Linked DNA regions of Oreochromis niloticus. The protein of the gene in region 1 purifies or fractionates together with the protein of each later gene. This does not show direct contact. Links are inferred from orthologs where the notes say so. Each region holds a gene or a part of one and is shown on either strand. Other genes may lie near its edges. The genes, in order: timeless and tipin.

Evidence for each region.
Region 2: the proteins of timeless (region 1) and tipin purify together in Homo sapiens (affinity purification with western blotting; 6 studies listed by BioGRID and IntAct, counting the BioPlex papers as one, with this or other methods). This does not show direct contact. The link is inferred for Oreochromis niloticus from reciprocal best matches to the Homo sapiens genes TIMELESS and TIPIN.

What each region holds. Positions count from the first base shown.
Region 1 is NC_031970.2:24,484,918-24,497,301, forward strand, and holds the start of timeless (protein timeless homolog), read right to left. Parts: upstream 5,413-12,384; 5' UTR 5,225-5,412; intron 4,156-5,224; 5' UTR 4,099-4,155; coding exon 4,014-4,098; intron 3,924-4,013; coding exon 3,770-3,923; intron 3,425-3,769; coding exon 3,310-3,424; intron 3,170-3,309; coding exon 3,107-3,169; intron 2,993-3,106; coding exon 2,891-2,992; intron 2,799-2,890; coding exon 2,643-2,798; intron 2,529-2,642; coding exon 2,395-2,528; intron 1,949-2,394; coding exon 1,861-1,948; intron 1,763-1,860; coding exon 1,586-1,762; intron 1,375-1,585; coding exon 1,157-1,374; intron 1,077-1,156; coding exon 973-1,076; intron 1-972. Other genes in the region: prph (peripherin), read right to left, coding at 6,984-7,055, 7,188-7,261, 7,801-7,847, 8,017-8,237, 8,363-8,488, 8,584-8,748, 9,514-9,609, 9,936-9,996 and 1 more. UniProt on the Homo sapiens protein: Plays an important role in the control of DNA replication, maintenance of replication fork stability, maintenance of genome stability throughout normal DNA replication, DNA repair and in the regulation of the circadian clock.
Region 2 is NC_031965.2:3,355,537-3,368,073, forward strand, and holds the start of tipin (TIMELESS-interacting protein), read right to left. Parts: upstream 5,446-12,537; 5' UTR 5,311-5,445; intron 1,981-5,310; 5' UTR 1,969-1,980; coding exon 1,833-1,968; intron 1,342-1,832; coding exon 1,251-1,341; intron 230-1,250; coding exon 98-229; intron 1-97. Other genes in the region: lctla (lactase-like a), read right to left, coding at 10,315-10,430, 11,954-12,017, 12,102-12,301, 12,413-12,537.

The DNA.
Region 1 (12,384 bases):
TACCACTAATATCTGGCTAATATTAGTACCGATCCTCTAGCTGTTGATTTGAGGGGAAGGTGAAAAATTTGCAGGTAGTCCTCCTTGTTAATTATTCCATCCACTTTGTGCAATGTACCAGTACCACTGGAGGCAAATTAAGTCCAGTTTGAAAGCCTCACCTTCACTCCTCCATACATACCTCTTGACATTGTGGCCAAACAGCTCAATCTTTGTCTCATCTGACCCTAAAACATTTATCCAGAAGGTGTTTGGGTTGTCTCTCAATTGATGTAAAACCCACTTCACTGTGGACAGTGATGCTGGTCTTTGAGCAGTTTCTAGTTCATGGCAGGCTTGAGCCTTGAGGTTCCTGGGTTGTTCCTGAACATCCTGACCAATTTCCTCTCATCTGAGGGTGACAGTTTGGGTCTTGTGCCAGACTTTGGCAAAGAGGTGACACATCTGAATTACTGATCTTGGAATGTGCAGCTGTTTAGAAGTGGCTCCAAGCAATCTTCCCAATTTGTGCAAATCTACAATTCTCCTTAGCACGTCTGTGAAGTTCTTGGACTTTCCCACTGTACTTAATACTTGTCAATCCAATGAGTGCTATCAAGCAAATCCTTTTCATAGCAGTTGTACTCAATCATGACCATGAACGAGAAATTAATAGGCCTTGGCGAGTTGAAAGTCATTGTAGAACCTTCAGCACCACTTGTTAAAAGAGTGTATTAGTGGTACATATTTGAGACTGTTTGTATACTTTTGACCCTGCGTGGTTCAGAGAAAATCCAAAATAAATTAAAACTTGTGCACTCAAAGTCTTGTTTTTTAAAATCATTTAAGATTTATGCTGTACAAAAGCCCAAATTTACCATGACATTCATGCCCAAACGTCTGATCACAACTATACATATGCTAGAAGACCATGTGAAAAACTGTTCACCTTGAACAAAAGTTATATATAAACTTTTAAACCTACAATCTTACTTTTAATGACGCTGGAACTCTGCCGGATGCTTTCATCCTCCGATCTGTCCATCTCATTCACAGTTAGCAGCAGTTCTTGATATGCCTTTAATGCCAAGTGCATCCTAAAAAGAACAAATCGCAGCAGTGTTGGGCCAACTCAAGTATTCGATTCCATTAACCAGCTTCTAAATGATCGCCTTACCTGCGGGACCAAGAAGTGGCCTCTTTGCGGTCTGTGAGCAGCATCTCATAGTAGTTGGTAATGTTACGCTCAATAAAATGAAACGCCCGGATTGACATGGTCTCAGAAACTAGGTCGGCACGGAAACAACTGCCTCTGTTGAAAGCCATGAAAAAGCTGAGTGCCCACAGGTAATAGGTCTCATCATGTTGCTGAGTCTGCTCACGAATGAGACTTTCCTGTTGAGAAGACAAAGAAAAACAAAAATCTGGTGAAAACAAAAAACATTAGATGCCCTTTTTGGATGTTTTCTATGGTTTTAAATGTCGAGGTTAGAAGCATCTTCCTGTTCACAAAACAAGCATTTTAATAATTTAGCTGAGAAAAACTTGTGTTCAGCATATCACTGTACATCTATACAAAAAAATAAGACACGTAACAGCGGCCGACCTTAACGAGGTACATGAGTCGATTGTAGCAGTTCTCCAAGAAGTCCACACAAAACTCTCGCAGGAAAAGTCGAACATTTAAGGCCGAACGTCGTTTTTCCCCACTTTCTTGGGCCTTTCGATGCCTCTTGGGAACACGTCTCACTGCTTTGCCAATGTCGTGAGTGTAATCTTTAAACTTAAAAAAATAAATAAATAAATAAAACAGAATAAATTATTTTTTCTTAACACGATCACTTAATGGAAAGACTTCTTAATGGAAATTGAACAGCTCACATTCTGAAGGTTCCTGTGATAGATCACATCTTTGTCCCCTATTGCCTTCAGTCCTTGAACAACAAAAGACCCTCCAAAGCGAGAGTGTCTAAGAGGAAAACAACAGCATATACATTGTGTCTCAGTACTGAGGATGCTATAGCGCTTTTGGGAACATTTTTGCAAGCATATAATGACATTTATCCATCCATCTACGCTAATTCTAAGCCAACTTGTTGCAACTCCACCATGTGTGTTAATGCTCTGCTGACTTTTGCCATGAAACTATTTTTTTTACTGCAACTCTTCTGTAGATGCACCTCACCCAGAGGTATTCCTAGTTCACAGATACTTCTAATATAATACACATTATTGTGAACAGTCCAGAATTGCAGGAAGGAAGTGATTTTGACTGAGAAGTTCAGAGGTTCGAGTTGGAACCCTTGCTTACCCAGGACCTCCCACACACCACCACTTGAAAATCTATGTGTACTTAAACTCTTCTGTAATTGGCAACGGTAAACTTGGCACTAAAGAACATCTGTGTGTCTGCACCTGGTCCCTCTCTGTAAAGTGCGAGAATGTTTCTCTGCATGCTCCTTCTGCCTCAGTGCCTCCAGCTCATTAGAGTCCTTCTTCTTCTCTTCTGCTGAACGAGCATGGCCGGCACTCACCAAAGCTTCTGGAGTCTGTAAAGAAAGAAAACAACAACAACAACAACAACAACAACAACAAAACCCACTGAAACAGAGAAAGCTAGAAAATTTAGATGTGCACTCCCAAAATGGATTTTTCTGTCTAACCTGGTCTCTGAACATAAGGGAGATGATTTCCAACACATGCATACTCCACTGCTGCTCACTCTGTGCTGAGGCCAGGAACTTGATCAGGTCATCAAAGCCGCTCATGTGAATGGCCCACAGCACTCGATCATGGACACTGGCGTCATCATCCACTTTCTGCAAATAAGGGATAAAAAGAGAGAGATTAGGGATGGGAAGAACTTGCAAAGCACTTATATGGAATCAGCATAATGTTTTTTAAGTCAAACCTTCTCTTCACTGGGGTCCGCAGGTACATGAAGCACATTTCTAACCAGCAGCAAAATCCTCTCTATCAGCAGGTTATCTTCTTCCTGTCTCTGCTCCCAGTCCTGAGTGACCAAAGGTGAGGATGCAGACAGAAACACATGAAGAATCAGAAGCATTTTTACTCCGAGTGGAAACGGTTCAATGAAAACAAAAATCTGAACAAGTGAAATACTCACAAGTTGTAGAAGGTTGTACAATGTCTCACTCAAGATACAAAACACACTCTCACTGGCAAATGCCTGAAAATGAAAGATAATGATACAGTGGCAACAGTGATACTTTTATGGTGAGCTATAAAAACATGGGCTGCAAATATTTTGTTTGTAATTACATAAAAAACACTTTTTATAAAATCCTTGCGTTATTGCTGTTCAAATACCTCCTTATAAGCCTGCAAATGAGACGTCACTTGCAAAAAGTGATGCCTGAACACCGGGTCATCTGGGACTTTACCAAAACAGAGCATGGCAGGCTGCGTGAGGTTGACCATGAGTCTAGAAAAAAAAAAAAAAAAAAGAAAAAAAAAAGAGAGATTTTAAGTAACAGATTTTTTTTTAAACCAACTTGTATCGACAGAGAATCAAATTTATTACTTTTCTAACAATGATCTGTCACCATAGTAACACATGTTACACGAATTGTATTATAGGACAGTATTACTATTTTTATTTGTCACTGTCACTTGCCTATCAATCAATCTTTACTCCAGAATCACAAAACATATCACATAACACAAAAATAAGATAAAAAATATACCCAAATAACCTTCACTAAAATACAGATAAGCATATTTATATATACACATATATTTTATAGATGAGACTTCTCAGGATTCGTACCTGATGCAGGCATCAAATAAGGCTTTGTCCTGTCTGTGCTGAATGATAATAGGCAGAAGGTCATTCTGTACAATCTGGCTTTCACCCAACTGCTGCCGGACATCACGGGCGTCATCTTCATGGCGTAAATAGCGAATCAAGTCTTTCACACTCTCTGTGACATAGAGACCGGGCAGCTGTGAGAGGACTGTTCTGGATCAAAACAACAACTACATATACATATTTACACTTCAAATGGACTCACCTAAGCAATCAGCCTCCTTGTGATAGGTGTCTCCCTCCAGATAACCTAGAGCACTGCACGTTGCCAAAAGTTCACAGTTCATCATGAATAAGTCCACACACCATCAGGGTGCCTTGAAGTCCAGGGGATCAGTGTAAGTGACCTAAAATTGTCAGAATAATCACAAAAAGCTTAAGCTGAAATAATTACTCCTTACAAACAAGGTTAGCAAAAGAGTGTCTCAAACGTGTCCTTGAAGTAGATGGCCTACAGCAGCAGAGGACCACACTTTGTGCCACTACTGTCAACTAGGAAAAGGAAACTGGAGCTACAATTACCACAAGCTCACCAAAATTGGGCAACAGAAGACCTGAAAATGGTACCTGGTCTGACGAGCCTCAATTTCTGCTGCGACATTCAGACAGTAGGGTCATAATTTGGTGAAAACAACATGAAAACGTGGTTCAGGCTGCTGCTGGTGGTGTAATAGTGTAGAGGACATTTCCTTGGTATGCTTTGGACCCTTTAGTACAAACTGAGCATTGTTTAAACAACACAGCCAACGAAGTTATTGCTACTGACCATACCTACAGTGAACCCATCTTCTGATGGATGATTACAAGCAGGATAACATCATGTCATAACGCTCAAACTATCTTTAACTAGTTTCTTAAACATGACACTGAGTTCACTGTCCTGAATCCAACACAGCATCTTTAGGTTGTGGTGAAACAGGAGATTCTCATCGTGGATGTAGTGCCACCAAATCTGCAGCAAATGTATGATGCTGTCATGTCAAAAAGGACCAAAATCTCTGTGTAATGTTTCCAGCAGCTTGTTGAATCTATGAATTAAGCTGTTCTGAAGGCAAACGAAGGTCCAACCAGGTACCAGCAATGAGTACCTAATAAATAAAGCGACAAATTTTTCCATATACTTCCTCAGCTGTGCTTGACTTGATGACCAACCTTGTTAAGTGTGTGTCGTTACAAACTGAGTGCACTCTAGCTTTACTACAATTACTACTATTTATTTACAGGACCTGCTGAAGAAACCTGACTTATGTTATTGATGGCATATTTAGAGCTGTATGCTATATACTTATAATACTACTATGCTACTATTTCTGCTAAGACTGCAGTCTTCCTTCTGATCGGTAATCTTGTGTCAGAGCAGCTACCTTAGGTTTTACGTTTCATACAGTATAAATAAAGTAGAAACAACTTACTTACCTTCTAGGTCGTCCAAATGTTGTTTCAGTCGCTCCTTTTAAACAACCTCCAGCGCATTTGGCGACAGTCTTTTCTAACAATATACGGCTGTTTTCCACTTGCAGTCACACAACTGCGACAAACCGGACAAGTCTCGCGCCAAGACCGCGAGCGAAAATTCTGGAGGCGGATGTAGAATGTCGTCACGACTTGAATTGTCTGCGCCCTGATTTCTGCCTTTCAGGTAGCGCCTTTTTAAGTTGGGGACTGAAAAAAGAATGTACAGCACTGACATGGCTGTGATAAGTTTAATTGAAGAAGCTTAATACAGAGATTTGAGCCAGCAGGATTCAAGTATGGCGGAAGCAAAGTTCGCGAAATGTGTGGAAAACCGCTGCAGTCTGCGATGAAGGTTCGTCTGGGAGGTGTCACTCAGGGAAAAAGAGATAGTTATAACAAAGGGTCCTATGTGATGGATAAGACCGTGTGCAAAAATGCTAAGCGTTGCATTAACTTAAGAAATTCTGTTGGAAAACCAGATTCAGTAACCCGCGATTGAGACCAGAGAGAATAGAAACAACATAAAGGTACAGGCAACAGGCAACCTCCCTCATAAGGCCTAAATTACTACAACAGGATTTTTACCTGTCTTATTAAAAACAAAAAACAAAAAAACAAAACAAAACAAAAACAAACATCTGTTCAGAACTCAGCTGTCTGGCTTTTAACGAGAACAAAAGAATCCCACTGTGGCCTTTTTTACACTGGCTCCCATTATGTATTAGAATTTATTTTAAGCTGTCATTGACTAATACCTTTGTGGTCTTGCTCCCAGCTACACCTCAGCTCTCTTACTACCCGATTCACCAGTACATACTAAAAGTAGCCAGATTGATCCACATATCGATATCATGGATGCCAAATATTGGTATCGGAACTAATAGCGTAATAGGATCGATCGTTTGCATCTATCCTCTAATTTTATTATGCAACCCACTTCACACGTGAAAATTGCAAAGTGCAGGTTATGGAATGATTACATTCATGGATGGACACACAACAACAACACTGATTTGCATGGATGGCGTTTATTTTCACGGATGACTTTTATTCTCACATACATGTTCTTTCCTCGGTTGTGCCAGATACACACGGCATTGCAAAGCAAAATCAGTAAAGTTTCATATTTTCACTGTCAGAATTTCCTATTGTATTTACTAATAATCCATGTCTTTGGTGAATGGTGATTTGCACAGTAAGAGGACAGCAAAGCTTCTAAAACAAATGCAGACATCTTGATTTGTTCTCAGTCGGTTTGTAAGGTTTGTTGGCCAAAGGGCAGTGTCAAGCAGTTTGTTAGTAAGGCATTCATATATAGAGAGAGATATTTATATAACACAAACAACTAAAATGCTGTACATAAATGACGTAGTTTAGGGTGTGGTTTAATACTCTGCTACAAATGTGAGATCATCTTAGGATTGCACTGTAAACCAAGGCCTCTGCGGTTCGTTTATAAAGGGGTTTTACTGCTACAGAAAGCAAAAGTGTTTAGCAAAAAGTTGGGTGGTTTAAATAGCACCAGATTGACACTGTCTAAAGGAATTCATCCATGGTTGCACCTATGCTGAGAGACAATTTGCTAAACAGTGAAACTCTTAACTAGTGAGAACGAGAACTACAGTGTACAGATCGGAGTTTGTTTTTCTATTTTTCATCAACATTTTCAGTTTTGTTTCTATCATGGCACTGGCCTTCATATTATGTAATGAGTTTCTGTCTACTCATCCATGTCATCCTTGTCAATTGCACCAGAATCTCTATCTTTCTCCCTCCTGGATTCCTTCAGCACCTAAAGAGGAACATAATATCCAGGTTAGTATAACTTTTCTACGTGATGCATACTAATATTGTCGTTGTGTTACTTGCCAGTGATCAGGGTTGTGATCTTTGGTAAGCAACATTTTTCTATAAATCACCTTACCTCGCCATCTCTAGTCTCCACTGTCTTTATCACGACAGTCCTCTTGCCCATGCTATCCGGAGCTTTTTCATAGTCTGCAAAAAGGTTCCGTTAAAATGCTGCTTAGATTTTAACATTTAGATATATGTGCACTCACAAAAAGACAAGTTTTACTTTTGAGAGATTTATTAGAAAAGTTGAATCATCTTGATGAATGACTGAAAGAGTTTGTTACTGGACAGTGATAAGAGGCAAAGTTCTGGGATTCTAGGCCCCCTTTGTCCTAGAAGTAAAAGAACCCATTGTTTTAAATGAGAATCCTAGATTACTTTTACATCTGCCTCCGGCATGAGCCCCTCCTGTTAGAATAATCAGTAAAAAGATGAACTTTTCTTTTGGAAAATGTTTTCTGTGATAAAAGAAGTCACAACACATTTTTATTTCATTACAATTTGTGCCAGTGATTAAGCCAAAGAGAGCAGCTCAGAAACAAAATGGGAATTCTGAAAACTTTTAAAGTTTCCATGCTGAAGAAAATGAAGAGCAATCAAATGGTTACAGCTTTAATGCCAAGGTGTGAGAGAATTTAATCTTATATTTGACTGTGAAAAAAAAAACAACAACTGTAGCTTACCTCCAAGGTGATTGCTCATGCCAATATTGAGGATGGGAACAGAAATCCTAAACAGAAAAATAACATGAAGGTGTTACAACATGTAATAAAAAGCTAATTGCTTTGTTGCACTTGAGTTGTAACATTATCTGGGGCTAAGCTTTGAAGAAACAGATGATACTGATACTGATCATGTTGTTACTAGTGAAGACATGGACGCAGCATGTTCTCGCTTACCTGCTCTCCTCCCCCTCCAGCAGTTTGCGGTAAGTGGCAATCTCAATGTCCAGAGCCATCTTGACATTGAGGAGATCCTGGTACTCGCGAAGGTGGCGAGCCATTTCCTCCTTCAGGTGGCGGATCTCATCCTCCAGCCTGCCTATATTATCTTGGTAGTTGGCTGCCTCATTGCCAAATTGGTCCTCTATTTCACGCATCTGCCTCAGCAGAGCTTCATTCTGAGAAAACAAAAACCCCACATTTGGACATCAGACTTTAGACGGCTATCCAAAAACATCTTGACTGCTGATACTTGTGTATAGTACATTATGATAGACTAATGACATCTGGTACTCCAGCTTACCGTGTTCTTCAGTGCATCAATTTCACAGTTAAGAGACTGAATCTGCCTCCTGGACTCGTTGGCCTCCTGCTTGGCCTGCCTCAGAGCATCATTGTTGCGCTTTGCAGACTCAGTCAGATCAGCAAACTGCAAAAAGCAAAAGATGAAGTACACATAAAAAAACACCAAATACTTATATACTTGTGTGTGGCCCGTCATTGTGTGTCTTTCTCTCTGCCTACCTTGGACTTGTACCATTCCTCAGATTCTTGCATATTCTTTAAGGCAATGGTTTCATATTGGGCTCTGATTTCCCTCAGAGCACCAGTTAGATCAGGCCTGGAGCTGCTGTCCACCTCCATCTTCAGCTGCTGGGTCTGGACGCTCACTTGTACATCCTGGATTTCCTGATGACGAATAAAAGCACATAAAAATTGTGAAAACCATTTTCCTTCTGCAAAGATGCTTTTCACATTCTCAGTGAGAAACATCTGTGTCCATACAATAGTTCCTCCGGAGGCTGGGTCTCATCAATAATGGCTAACTCTCAAGCTTTAGCAAACACTAACAGGAACGTCTCTTACAAATCCTTGCATATCCAAGCCTGGAGTGTATTTGCTCCCCCCCCCCCCCCCCCCTTTACCAGCTCTCTGCATCTGTGCTCCAAATACTTTAGTGCCTGATCTGTTATCGCTCCCATTTCCCTCAACCGGTTACAGCATATGGCTGCCCCTCCTTTAATCTGGTTCTTCCAGAGGTTTCTTTCCTGTTAAAAGGGAGTTTTTCCTTCCTACTGTCACCAAGTGCTTGCTCAAAGGGGGTTGTTGGATTTTCTCTGTATTACTGTAGGGTCTCTACCTTCTAATGCCTTGAGGCATCTAATGTTGTGAGTTGGAGCTATATAAATAAAATTGAATTTAATTGTTTAGTGTTATACTCACTAAATAGTCAGTTAATCTGATTATGATGATTTAAATGCTAATTAAATCATCATAATCAGATTAAATGATTTAAATGACATTAAATCACAGAGGATTTACGTATTTGGAAAGAATGTTACGATTTTAGATCTCCAGAAAATATTCTGTACTTTGATAAGTGAACCCTGAAAGAAAGAAGGTTCACATTTTTACAAACAAAGAGAAGTGGGATGCAGTGATAGGACCACTTACCTCATCATGGATTTTCTTTAGGAATTCAATCTCATCCATCAGAGACTCAATCTTCCTCTCCAACTCCAGACGAGACAGTGTGGCATCATCCACATCCTACAAAACAATGTAAAAGGAAATCATCAGATAGGATACGGCAGACATAAATAAAATGCAATAGAAAACATTCAGTGTATGTGTGTTTCAATTGTACAAACATCTGCACCCTTAGAGGATACAATTTTTATATAAAAACATGCATTAACTAAAAAATGTACACAGGCTCCTGTGTGCACTGGTCTGGATCAATGCCATTTTAGGAATCTGCCCTGTCATATTACTGTGGCAGTATTACATAAGTATTGGAGGTGGAACAAAGCTGTCCATTGTGACCTGAAAGGGGACACTGTAATCAGTCACGGTCCACTGAGCCTGTTGTTTACCTTGCGGAAGGCAGCTAGGTTATTCTCAGCATCTGCCCTCTTCTGGGCTTCTTCATCCAACCTAAGAACAAAATGCAATATTTTCAGTAATGATCGATGACAGTCAAAAATCTCCTTTATAAAAAGGCACGGGAGAAGAACAGGTGGACTATTTTTTCCCCCCAAGAATACTGTCTGAGTCAAAGGTTGCAGCAGGGCATCAGCTGGCAAAAAGCTTTCTGGATCAATTTGTTAATTTGTTGTGTCGTAAAAAGGATTTTTGGGAGTGCGCCCACTGGGATCAGCTGCTCTTCCTCTCGGCTAATGTGGCGTCTCTGCAGTTTAATAAGGTCATGCACTCAGAAGGGTTATGTACACACACACTTATAATTTTTTAACATATTTTTAAATCATTACACTAGTGAAGCTAGTTTACAGTGATAAAAAATTAAAGAGAATTTGCGTGATATCAGAAAATATTTAAATGAATTATAGGTTTCTGCTTATTCATTGGATTTCTTGTCAAACGTGTTAAAGTTTTAAAGTCCTTGATCTAAATGCAGAACATCTAAGTTTGCTTCTGCTAGCTTCTTCTGGGCTGTCAGTGTCTGGATGTGCAGGTGAAGGCAGGCCCATCTGTTATGTCAGACAGAGGTTTTACCCGGGCTGGACATAAAGTAGATTAGTGGGTCCTGCTGCCTCATCTTTAATTCATGTCGTGTTACACAGGGCCTTTTGTCCTAATGGGCTCTCTGGCACCATCCCATCAGCACACAGAGGGACACTGAAAATACACCTAATGGAGTCATTGGGTCACATTGATTTTTCCTGACGCTATCCTCACCACGCCTGACACCCAACCTCTCTTCCTCTGGTCCCATTTCCCCTCTCTCTTTCCTCGCTGGTCCTCACCAGCCCCTCCCTGTGTCCGATTTCTCCATCCTTCTCCTCGCTCCTCTTGTCTTCCTGTCTGCATGAATTCTAATGTGCATTTGTAAAGCACTGCACAGATTTGGCAGTCAAGAAAACAATTTACTGTCAGTCATGTCATGAAATTATTTGGCATCAATTACAGTGTCACAGATTTTTTTTTTTTCCTTTGGTCTCTTTGCTTTTGTTAATAGACATTTTTCACCTTACCTTTAGTTACTCAGTCTTTCAAGACATTTATATATAGCCAGATATGATTTGCACACATGATACGATGCAGCCTCCTGTGTCCTCTGTATCATGCTGCTGCTTTTGTGCCACGCCCAACCTCACCCTTTACACGAGTCAAGTAGCAGCGCAGCAGATTCTCTGTCTCCTCTTTGCTTAAAATGGGAGGAAAGAAAAGTAGATAATCTTATCTATCTATCTATCTGTCTGTCTATCTGTCTGTCTGTCACCTTGGTACCAACCTTTGCTTGAGTAGGGTCAAGTCTTCTGCCAGGTTATCCCTCTCCAGCTGGTATTGGTCCCTCTCTTTGCCGATAGCATCCATCTGGCGCCGCAGCTCCCTCAGCTCCTCCTGGAAGAGCTCAGATGCACGGTTGGGCTGCCCGTGCTGCTGCTGGCCCTTGAACTGGTTGAGCTCCTGCTGCAATGCACCATTCTGCTGTTCCAGGTATCGCACCTTCTCAATGAAGCTGGCAAAGCGGTCGTTGAGCTCCTGCAGCTCGGCCTTCTCATTGCTGCGGGTGGTGAGGAACTCCTGGTTGATGGCTTCGGCCAGAGTGAAGTCCACCTTGTCATAGGAGAGGCGAGGGGGCTGGGGGCTAGGGCGGGAACGCTGTTGGTGGAAGGCGGTGGATCGGGATGTCACCACAGGTGACATCGAACGCATGTAGCGTCCCGAAGAAACAGGCATTCGAGAGGACACGGGGGTGTAAGAGGACAACGAAATGGAGTGTGGGCTTCCGAAGGTGCGCCTGTAGGAGGTATGCACTGAAGAATGGCTCATGGTTGGGCTGGTTCTGCTCTCTGCCGCTGAGGATAGGTGTAGTGATGTAGGCTTCAAGAAGCTTGTGAAGCAACAGGACATCAGACTGAAGAGCTCTGAGGGTTTTTATGCACCCAGGCTAGTTGCCCTATGAGCATCACACCTCCCCCCTCGCCCATTTTCCTCACCCCACCCACATGATGCCTTCCTTACTCAATCAGTCATCAGCACACCAGCTTTGACCACTCCCTACCCTTCAGAGCCAGACTCTGCCTCTTTCTGTACTGTCACCAATCCTCTGCCTTGCTCTCTGTCTCGACGGTACCATCCTTTTAACCAGAGCATTTGGCAGAGAGCCACTCCAGCTTCCACAACACTACTTTAAAAACTAAGGTCTCCTCACTCCCTCCCTCCTTCCCTCTCTGATTTTTGCACTCGCTGACATCTTGAACTTGTGTTTTCTTTGTCAGTTTTAATTTCTTATATCTTACATATAAGTGATTTTACTCTTGCATAAACTTCTACAATTCTCATAACAGTGCCAGCTGA
Region 2 (12,537 bases), on another chromosome or scaffold:
TAATATTGTGAACAGAACAGTAACAAAGGAGTGCCACTGGGACACCCACTGGGAGACCCACTGGGAACGAGCCTGACTTATTGTTGGCATTACTAACCAGGTTGCCTGCAATCCAGCAGCACCAGCTCTGCTTTTCATGTGTGGCATAACCAGGGCATCCATCTTTCTCACACACATCCAGGGATGTCTCCAACGCTCTGACAATTTCCAGTCGGGGAATTTTCTCCATCCAAATGATGAAAACAACAATGGTATTAGAGTCTTTCTTCTTTAAATGACTGGCAGAGTGAAGATGCACCATCATCACACAGATGCAGTCATTTATATCCGCCGCTAAAGCGTAAGAAGACGCTGCAGTATTCTCCTAAACAACAGGTGTCACCACTCAGATAATATCACATCACTTTTTTGTGCAAAGTTCTTTCCACAAACTTAAGTTTTCAAACATTTGCAACATCTCCCTCTGTGTGTCAGTGTGTCTCTGAGCTTCTGTGCACGATTATTACTCAAATGGTGATAAAACCAGTGCGATCGTACACTCGTGTGTTCAACCCGGCCACATCGCAACGCACCAAGTTACAATCAAACCAAGAGATGCATGACCACAAAGATTGTGTTGCGTTACACAGGATGTGATGTGAAAATTGTCATCAGACACCGGCGACACAAACAACGCAGCAAGCTTAAAACATCCTGACGCTAACCCACTGATACTGTGCACACGTCAATCAATGATTTTGGCCTCCTTGTGTCCCAGCCAGCCCGTTCTCACTCCCGAGGCGTAACATGCTGACGTTTTGTCACGTCCCGCGGCGTTCCCGAGGAACGCGAAAGGAGACCTTCGGCGTTCTTATGGTACGCGGCGGGTTATGGCTGAAATCCAGTGCAATGACGCTCCCGCGGTAATAGACGTTCCAGCCCTGTATTCCAGCCCTAATCATAACCTTATTCCTGACCTTAACCAAGACTTTAATGACGTTAAATAGCGTGTTTCTAAGCGATTTGAAGAAAAAGAGCGAACATGTGTAGATTGAGTCCAGACGGTTCTCATATTTCCTCATTTTTCCGAGGTCGTCATTATGGTGGGTAGCCGAAAACGTAATATGTTGACGATTTGTCACCTAGCGTAAAATGTTACGCTTTGGGAGTGAGAACGTGTTGAGCTCACAAAAGATGGCATCAAATTCCTATTTAAATGCGCATTTTAATGCATTTCAACCATCTGTCGTAATATAAAATGTCTTTGCTACCTGTGGGAGTCCAGCTTGGGTTGGGGTCTCTTCACGCCTCTCCTTTTAGCAGTAGGGACATCAGCCAGCTGTGATACCTCACCTTCATCTCCTGCATTAAACAGAGCACATGACAACAGGATGTGTTTCTAACTCATTCTGTTGGCAGCATGGCAAACTTCAAGCTTATCTTTTAAATCCAGAAAAATTATAGATTGGAGGTTACAGAAGAAATGTGCTGGTTTGAACAGTATCTATCTGATAGATTTCATTTGCTCAAGCAAACAAAAACATGCATGTTGTTATTGTTAGAAACATCCAGTCTCAGAGTGATGCTGAAAAACCAGTTCATGCATTTGTTAATTCTAGGCTGAACTAACAAATTCATTATTATCAAGCTGTTCCAAAAAGCTTTGTGGAAGGACTAGAATGAGAGGTAATATTTCTCCCATATTAGCCTCTTTTTACTGATTCTTATTTTTCTATGTGATTCTTCATTAAACCATGAATTTAAAATCCTTCTCCTCACATACAAAGTGCTGAATTATCATGTCACATCTTAAAGACCTCATAGTAATCCTGTAAGAGCACAGCAGCATCTACCATCTGCAAAAGGGTCTCCTTCCTCCTGGGCTCCCCGGCCTGGGGAGTGTGGTGGTGGGAGTGGGGGGAAAGCTTCATCCTCTATGCCGTCATAGTCAGGAATGTCATGCGGGCTATTTTCCTGTTGGTCAAGCATGGTGAGTCGGTCCTGGAGACAAAGTAAAAGACGTGTGAGCCCCAGTCGTCAACAGCATCAGCATTCAGTTTAGATGAATTTAACTGCAATTTGAAAAAATGAATTACATTTATTTCTGTAACATTAATTCTTTACTGTGTTACAACATCAACATGAAACCTAAAAAACTGGCATTTACTTTTTTTACATCAACAGGAGGAGCTGTACAGACACTCATCCAACCTGGAATTATACCCCACATTCTGAAATGTACTATTATGATACATTATGTTTGTTTCACAGTTATATACATAATACAATTTATAGATTTGCATATATTTACATTCTATCAGGGATGCACTGGTTGTGAACTTTTGGGCTGATAATGACATTTAAGAGTTACAATTTGGATGAATTATTATTGTGATACTTTTTTTTTACAACTCTGTAGTATCACAGAAATATCATTAAAGTAACAGGTTTGTTTTAAAGTCTTTCAGCTGTTCGGTAAACTATTTTCATCATCATCATCATCATCGTTTATTTATATAGCACTTTAAAAACACACCTGGTAGACCAAAGTGCTGAACAATACAAATATAAATATAGTAATAAAATAGCAAAAACCAAACATAGCAATAAAGTAAACTATTTTGAGCCAAAATGATGTGACACAACACATAAATACCAGAAAAGAGAAAAGAACATCTTCTATATTGCTTTGCTGTTCACACAAATTCTAATGCTACCCTTTGTTTTTGGAAGCAGACAATTTTCTGTCCAGTATTAAAGTTCAAAAAACAGAGACTATACGTCTCCAATGGACTACTAAACAAGTTTACCAGAAAAATCAGACCCACGGTCATGTTGTGCCACTTTATTTGAGTGATTAGTCAGCAGTAATAACAGGGAATGACAAACTGACAGACTTTGTAGCACTCACCCCCATCATCACTAAGTGCTTAGAGCAGCTGGTCCTAGCACACTTCAAATCCTGTCTCCCCCCCACCCTGGACCCCCACCAATTTGCATACCGCCAGAACAGGAGCACAGAGGATGCAGTCTCCATCGCACTGCACTCTGTCCTCTCACACCTGGACAACAACAACACCTACGCCAGAATGCTGTTTATAGACTTCAGTTCAGCATTCAATACAATCCACCCCTCACAACTCATCAGGAAACTGACAGACCTGGGCATCAGTTCCCTCATCTGCAAATGGTTACTGGACTTCCTGACCAACCGCCCCCAACATGTCCAGCTGGATAACCGCTGCTCATCAACAATCACAATGAACACTGGTGTACCACAAGGCTGTGTGATGAGCCCTTTCCTCTACTCCCTCTTCACCCACGACTGCAGACCTGCTGATGGTTCCAACACCATCATTAAGTTTGCAGATGACACCACGGTGATTGGCCTCATCAATGACAACGATGAGGCCACCTACAGGGAGGAGGTGGATCGTCTGGCTGAGTGGTGCAACAGAAACAACCTGCTGCTTAACACTGAGAAGACCAAGGAGCTCATCGTGGACTACAGGAGGAATGCTGACCCACATCCACCCATCCACATTAAGGGGACGGCTGTGGAGCGTGTGAGCAGCTTCAAGTTCCTGGGTGTCCACATCTCCGAGGATCTCACCTGGACGACCAACTGCTCCAAGCTGGTCAAGAAGGCTCACCAGCGCCTCTTCTTCTTGAGGACTCTGAGGAAGAACCACCTGTCCTCAGACATCCTGGTGAACTTCTACCGCTGCACCATCGAGAGCATCCTGACCAACTGTATAACAGTCTGGTACGGGAACTGCTCTGCCTCGGACCGGAAGGCGTTGCAGAGGGTCGTGAAAACTGCTCAGCGCATCGCCGGAGCACCACTTCCTGCCATAAAGGACATCTACAGGAAGCGGTGTCTGAAAAGGGCTGGGAAAATCATCAAAGACCCCAGTCACCCATCACATGGACTCTTCACCCTCCTGCCCTCTGGGAGGCGCTACAGGAGCCTCCGGACTAAGACCACCAGGTACCGGAACAGCTTCTTCCCCACAGCTGTCAGACTCCTGAACTCTGCCTCCTGACATCTGACCCACGTTAAACTCATGGACTGAACATACACACACCCACAACCACCTACACCCACACACAATGGACAACTGTACCCTCAAACACACAATAATAACATGGACTGAACCACCACTCACAACCACTAGCACTTTATATAGCCTCTGTAGAAATGATCCACATATCTCACTTATCTTAACTGCACTACTGTATAATTCTGTGTAAATAATCATTCTGTACATACAATAAGTTTTAATCCTACAACTGTTTATGACTTGCATAGTTCACATTTCTGTATAACTGTACATCTCATATTTCTGTATAGTTTTTTTTATTTCATATTTATATCCTGATTATAGCCTGTACATAGCTTGTACTCACTACAGCCTGTACATACTTATAGTTATAGAATATTCATAACATACTTCATACCGTGTACATTATAACATACCATAATAGACCCATTTCTGTAATATACTTACATATCTATATTATTGCTAATATATATTGTAATATATCTATATCATGGCTAAAGCACTTCTGGATGGATGCAAACTGCATTTCATTGCCCTGTACCTGTGACATGTGCAATGACAATAAAGTTGAATTCTATTCTATAAAACAAACAAACAATTTAGACATTTAGAAGGTGAAACATCTTTTCAGCTTAATTCCTTTTGCTGTATATGTCTATGTATGTATTTGCTGTATAGTGTCATTTGTTTGGAACATTAATCTTGATGTATACATAAAAAATTGATTAAAAATGAACACTGACACAATGAAACACAACATGTGTGCACGGTGACTACAAACAGAAGCATAATGTTTGTGGACTGCTTGTATCCTCCTGTGGATACAAACCAGCAAGAACTCCTCAGATTTCTGTCATTTACCATTAATGAAGTTTGACTTTTATTAATAAATAGAGAGTACGAATATCGGGCCGATATCACTTCGTCTGTTAGGCCCTTAATGGGATCGTCCGTGAAGCGGACACATCAGTGGCTCACAGGCTTAGCCACAGGAAGGTGGCAAACTAAACAAGCTGCTGATCTGGCCCAAACCCAAAGAGCTCCCACACGACTCTGTAGGATGTCACGTTCAGACCAGCAGCAGCAGGACACCATTATGTGCACCGTTAACGTTAGCGGCTACAGTTTGGACAGAACCAAACTGAGAGACTTTGGGTAAGTTATGAATAATGTAAGCTAACTGCTGTCAGATGAAGGAACTCTAAAGTGTGATAAGTAAATGAAATAGCAGCTGTGTTTAAAATGAAAGGAAACTTTATTGTCATACCTGTTATGAGCAGTCGACAGAGAAACGCTACAACTTTTAACTTCAGCCTATAAGATGCGCCTTTTTTCCCTCCACAGGAACGAACGAACGTCTCCTTCTTCCTGGTTGTTTTTAGCGGTCAGCAAACAGCAAAATTGTGCATTAGCGCCACCAAATGGTAAAGATTGTCCACTGAAAAGTCAAATTCTGTCAAACAATTTTGCCTTAAAAATGAAATATGGCCTGATAACTTTCACCTCATGAGTGTTTTTACAGTAAGTCGATGAGTTTCAGTGTGCTGTCATTCTACTGAGATCATGGGTCAGTCATCTTCTCCTAACCGGTTATTTCTTACAATCTAACATAACATGTGTTTTCCAAAGTAATCACATTCCCCTTTTTTGTGTTTCCCTTTCATGAATAAATGGACTGCTTAAACCAGTGTGCCCAAATCTAAGCTTGTGTTTGTCATTTCTCCTACTTTAATTTTAATTTTAGAAACCTTCCTTTCTACTATTTCTACCACATTTCCATCTCTTCCCCCCCTTACTATGTTCTGTGTGATCCTGTCCATGACCCTGTACTTTTGCTAGAGAGAGAAGTTTTGGCAGCTCTTTTCTGATTTCTAATGACATTTTTCTGTGTCTACCAATAATGTTGCTGTTGGAGCTGTTTTAAATACACCTATCCAGAATCTTGCCTGATATTGAATACAGTTTCATTTCAGGAGAGCTGTGTCTGCTGCTGCATCATATACGACACATCTACAGTATAGCACAGATCTGATGAACCCACTTTCGACTAAACACTGAATTATATTTAATGCCTTCTTGCAATTTGTCTACTATTTTCTGAATAGCCCCTGTCACCCTTTCATCAAACCACAGTCCAAGAAATAGAATAATAAGAAAGGGCACACCATATTCCCTGGTGTTCCACTTTCCACCGAAAGTCTTTCAGAGTAACTTGTATTTGTCTATACAATAAATAAAATCCTTCATCATCTATAAATTCAACCATTGATAACAGTTTTCCTCATTTGTTTACTAGCCCCTCTCTAAACATCATGTCTTATATTTTTCTCATTTCATGTTCTAAACATTATGCTGGAACCACTTTGATATTCTATACAGTATGATCCTCTTTTATTTATAATATTCTCCATTATTTTGCAGATCTTGGATGTTAAAGCTCTGATTTGAGTACTCACAGCACTTTATATTCATCCATTCACACACATTTACCCAGTAAGTGCTTTCTATCTAACACTCACACACATAACCTGATAAACACATCAGAGAGCAACCTGGGGTTCAGTATTTTGTGGAAGGATACCTGGATGCTCTGCTTCCCCAGGTAGTCATTGGTCTAAATGATGGGCAGTTTCCCACACTCCCAAACTCTGTTAAATAATTCTAATAACACATTTTTTGATGACTCACTAAGAGTCAGAAAAGATTTCCTCTTCATCATATAACAAATCTGATCTTTTCCTGGTGCTGCTAGTTTGGATTCACAAAGTGCCCATTTCACTGAAAGTTATATTTAATAAATCATCAGACGCTTCTACTTGTTGTAATAAATGCTTGTTTTATATCATTGTAATTTCTGTCCTTTGTTGCTCTTGTTCACCAGAGTTGCTTTAACAAAAAGACATGTTTGTCTTTATCCTGTCTTCCTTCTCTCTCCCCAACCGGTCACAGCAGATGGCCCCGCCCCTCCCTGAGCCTGGTTCTGCTGGAGGTTTCTTCCTGTTAAAAGGGAGTTTTTCCTTCCCACTGTTGCCAAAGTGCTTGCTCATAGGGGGTCATATGATTGTTGGGTTTTTCTCTGCATGTATTATTGTAGGGTCTACCTTACAGTATAAAGCGCCTTGAGCCGACTGTTGTTGTGATTTGGTGCTGTATAAATAAAATTGAATTGAACTGAACTTAACTATGAATTTTAAAAAATAACCTTTTGCCAATGTTACCTTTTCATAATTTAAACCTAGATATTCATTACCTATAAATTTGCATTATATACAGAAGAATTTAAATCTTCAACATCAACATATTTTGCATTTCCTGATCACTACCTAATGTAAATGTTTCCTAATCAGCAGAACTGAAACACCCCGTCTGGTGTCACCTCTGTGTCATACTCCTCTACACTCAGCTCTGTGTTAAGTACCTGCTATGAACAAAAACTGGCCAGTGAATCTGAAACTAATGTGATTCCATAATTCCAGCTCTAGCATTTAACCTTTTACAGCTTATGTCATGCAGATGAATCCATTCATTCGTCAATAACTGCTCCATTCTGGACATTGTAATTCCATCTAACATGCTGCTTGCATCAAGTCCCCACATCAGATTACTTTTGCTTGTGAATGTCTGCCAAGTTCCTCCACTGATTGTGACGATCTGTCGCATGGGCTGTAAAGAGGAACTGCTCAAGATTTCAATTATAATGTGTTCTAAGTGTGTTGCTATCGGATCATTTGCTGCCCACCACAGTTACAACATTTATCTCGTACATTATCTTTAAATTCTTGGTGCAATTAGCACAGTACATTGATGTGTCCATGTTTTTGGCACCTGAGGGGTGAAGGGATATATGGCCTAAACGAAAAGCTTATGCAGCCTCCTGACATTCCAATCCGATATTCCAAAATTCCAAGTACAGATCTGATAACCTGTTTTTTTTTTTTTTTTTTTTTACAAACCTCACCACTGTTAACACTCTGTTACTGTTTTTCTAGATCCTACTGGAAAACCCGTCATCACTCCCTGCATTACTTTGGTTACATTTCTTTCAAATACTCCCAGCATGTAACACTATTTTTGTTTTTGCTGTCTGAACCACTATGAACTGAGAATTTTAGTCAGGTGCACCTCTCTGAACTTCCTTTTTAATTCCCTAGACAAACCAGGGGGCTTCACTGCATATTCTCATCTTACTTTCATTTCAGGGTAATTTAAAATTCCTCTTTTACCAGCTTTTGCCATACAATACATTTGTCCAAACTGTTCTCCACTAAACTCTGTTTACTGGTCTGTATAAGCTTTCTACTTTTTCTCCCTGCTTCATGAGTAAGTAGAGAAAACATTTCTTCAGAAAAAAAGTTACTTCTGTGGTATTTTATTATGAATGATTTCATGAAGCTTCGAATATTTTTGTGTGGCTGTATCTTAGGAGTTGGAGCAGGTTGTGTATTTGGAGATCATCTACTATTTGAAAAGTTGGCGGTTCAACAGCTGCTCCAGTCTACATGCCAAACTATCCCTGGCAAGATACTGAAACCAAAGTTGCTCTCTGATGCATTTATCAGCGTGTGAATGTTAGACAGGGTGAAGATAGAAAAGTCAGATAAAAAGCACTTATGCATAAAAAAGAGTGCATGTGTCAATGAAACGTTTTATAAAGCACTTTGAGTGCTTCAGTAGAAAAACACTACTGTATATAAGAACCAGTCTATTTACCATTTTCCACTAAAAACTGATTCCAGCTGCCTAAATCAATGTTATGCATCATCTGCCTGAGACACATTTATATTTCGGGCTCATCGGCACATATAAACATTTCTGTCCGTCTGTCGTTGACTCAGAGTTTGGGGTTTTCTGATGTTTTGGGGTATTTTTGGTTGTTCTTGGTTTAAAAGTTTCTGTATTCTGTTCAGTTGACATTCTGGCTTTCTTTTTCTGGTCTTGTGGTTACATTCTACTTATCTGTGTATTTAGTTAATTAGAGGTTTGTTATCCCTGTGTGTATTCCTACTCTGTTTCTTTATTTTGGTCTCCATGTTTTGGCTTCTGTCTGCATCAAGTTTGTGTGTCTCAGTTTCAGTCAGTTCCTGTTTTATTTCAGTGTCTGTTCCTCCCTGTATATTGTGTCTCCTTTACTTCCTCATTAGTCTTTATACACAGTATACCTAGCTGTGTTTCCACCTGTTTCCCATCCTCTTGTTATCCTGTGTTGGCCTCAGTGTTCCTTTCTTTGTTCTTTGTTGGGTCCTCCCTCACAGTATGTTATTCTTGTTGATTTTGATTTATGGAAGTCTCTCATATGATATGTCAGAGTGTAATTCAAATATCCGGCTCTCAGACCATTTTCTTTGTTAATGATTGATTTAGAATTTAATTTACTTTTGCAATATGTTTGTACAGCTGTGAATGAACTTCAACACATACAATAAAAATACATGATTACAGTGCAGGAACAGAAGGAAGCCTGAAAGCCTGTTCAGCCAGCAGGAGTCTCTGAAGTACAGCAGGTTGTTTTCTAGAGTTTTTTTTTTCCAATTCAAGTTTTGAAGTCATTACAAAATGATAAATAACTCATATTATTATTTTCAGCCCGTCCCTTTGGGGATTGCCACAGCAGATCATCTGCCTCCATCTTACCCTACACCGACAGAGTATGTCGTCCTTCGACATCCATGCATCTTCTCTGTGGTCTTCCTCTTCCATGGTAGCTTGATCGTTCAACATCCTAAGTCTTGTGTATCCACTTTTAAAGATGTCCATCTCAGCCCCAGTTTACTGGGTGGTAGCGCACTGGGCTCCTTTATTACATTTTTACATTGGTTGTTTTTCATAAGATAAAGTAATAACAAAGGAAATCAACCTAAATAATCACTCACCTTTGAATTCTTAAAAATATATTTAATTAAAGTTTCATGACCACAGCATGGACATCACCTTCTCCCCGTCAATCTTATTAGAAACTTATGGACAGTAAGCCAACACCTCTCTAAAATGAACTTGGGTAGCCAATAGAGAATACAGCTATTTCAAAAATCACACAGGGTCAGCTGATTAATGAAATAATCGTGCACAAATCTGGAATTCAGTCTCACATGGCGACAGACGTTTGCTTTTGGATTTTTCATGATGACCCCCAAACATTTCTTTTTCAAAGCAGCAGCAGGACAGTTAAATCAGCAATAAGCTTGAGACAGGATACAAGCTTACAGCATGGAAGCAAATCTTAGATTATTTTCTTTATCTGTGAGGCTCTTAATGATGTGACTGTGTGTACTTTTCAGAGGCGTCGACGCAGCAGGAACATGAAGAAAACCGCACTGATGAGGATGCAGAGTGTACACACAGTGGGAACCACGATCTCTGTTACCATCTCCATGTGGCCTATCAATGGATCTGCAACACGTACATGGAACCGAGAGTTAGTGTATCGCCATTTATTCAGCTCCAAATCACAACAACAGTCACCTCAAGGCGCTTCATATTGTAAGGTAGACCCTACAATAATACATAATACATTTAGAGCCCCAGCTTACTTATTTAAATTTTATCGTGTGCTATAAAAAATAAAAAATCAAATTTCCTTAGTGCAAAAGCACAACACTCTTTTAAGAAGATAATAAGATGGGATGCTATGGTGGTGAGGATCAGAAAAACCCTTTATATACTTCAGCATGAAACATATTATACCAGTTTTACAAAGAAAATGATAAAACACTAACAAATACCTAGAGTTACAAATAAAACTAAATATAAATGTAGAAATACGTGTTGAGTATGTTTATGGTGTGAAGCTCTGACTGTATTACTTTTGTCTATTTCTAATATGGGTTCATTCCTGCTGTAAGATGATTCTATTCGGCAACTTTTGCTTAATTTGTGTGACACGTTCTATTGTGGGGTTCACCACCATCTACACTCTAAAAATACCTACGAGGATATTCAGCATTGTTGTAACATTATGTTGTGCATGAGCTTGGTGGCTGACTAATCTGAACAAAAAACATACAAGGCAAAATGAAATACAAATAAAACAAATATTAATTGTAACATATGAAGTGTTATATAATGTTAGGAATGATTTATTTAATTAAGTCAAATGTGCGAGCAGGGCTTAAATTGAGCTGGAGGGATGTGGAACAGCATTCTGGCACCTTTAATTAATTTCGATCTAATAAACAGATTACTTCATTGTTTGTGTCCTGCTGGTATAGCAATATTTGCTGAGTAATAAAAAAAATCCTGATATCCTGTGGCAGGCTAACAACCTCAACACGCCTTTTTTCCCTTCTCATCCCTGTGATTTGTTTATGGTGCATGTAAGTAAAGCTGGCTGCAGTACAGCAGAAGAGGAGTGAGCATAAAGGGACAGAAGCTTTTTCAAGTAGCTCAAAATCCCAAACACACAACCAAACGCACAGTTTCTGAGCAGTTTGTTCCAAAATGTGTCTGCTCTCTAAAGGTGCAATCGCTGTGTTTCCCAGTGAGAGAAAAAGATGTTATTATGTAACAGTACTGGAGATGGAGAAAGAAAGACAGGGTTGAGAAATTATTTTCAAAGTTAGAGACCGCTTACCACATGAAATGTAAATTTAAAGCTTACATATAACACCCTCGCATATTCTAGAGCTCCTATCTGTACCTGATGTGTTATTGAAATGTGTTGGGACTCAGTAAAAGCTGGGAGAATCATATTAATCTCACACAGCATCAAAGTATGTACCTAAACTTCATCATGGATTGACCAAGCTTGTTCCATTCCTGCAAGTTCCTGATTTTCCTTTGACTTTCTTCTAGCTGGAGGGGCAAAACAAAGAAAAACCCTGTTAGATAAGAGAAAAACAAGCTTCAGACTGAATTTTCCTTTGTTTGGCCCCACCAAGCTTTTTACAGCCCACGCACTACTTCATCATACTAACCTGCAGCCAGCAGCTGGTTACTGGAGGAGCAAGTCTCTACAGCTTTCCTCTTCCAACTTTCAACCTGTAAAGCCCAAACAAGCCCTTTTTTAATCATAGTGTCTTCACCTCCATGGGGGACTTTTAGCGTGAAGTGTGTAGCATTTACCTCTCTCTGATTGGGAAAGCCATTTGAGCTGATAATGCGTTTGTAGTAGTGGACAGAAGCTTTTGGGTAGCGTGGCTTATTTTTGTTCCTGAAGTCGACGTAGTAGAGCCCAAACCTCTCAGAGAATCCTTCATCCCACTCAAAGCTGTCGAGGAGAGACCAGGCTGTGTACCCCTTCACATTGACCCCATCTTTTATCGCTAAAAGTCGAATCGTGGACACTCGTTTAATTCACATCGTATCTAATGTACATAGGTTTGATATTTGATAGACAGTTGTCTTTGAGACAGTAAAGTCTTCCTGAGTTTCACCTTTGAGCATTTCATTGATGTAGTCTTTGAAGTACTTCATCCTCCAGTCGTCACAAAGGTCGGTGCACAGCATTTTCTCTGACACGCCATTTTCTGTCACATAGATCATGGGGTTTCCATACTGA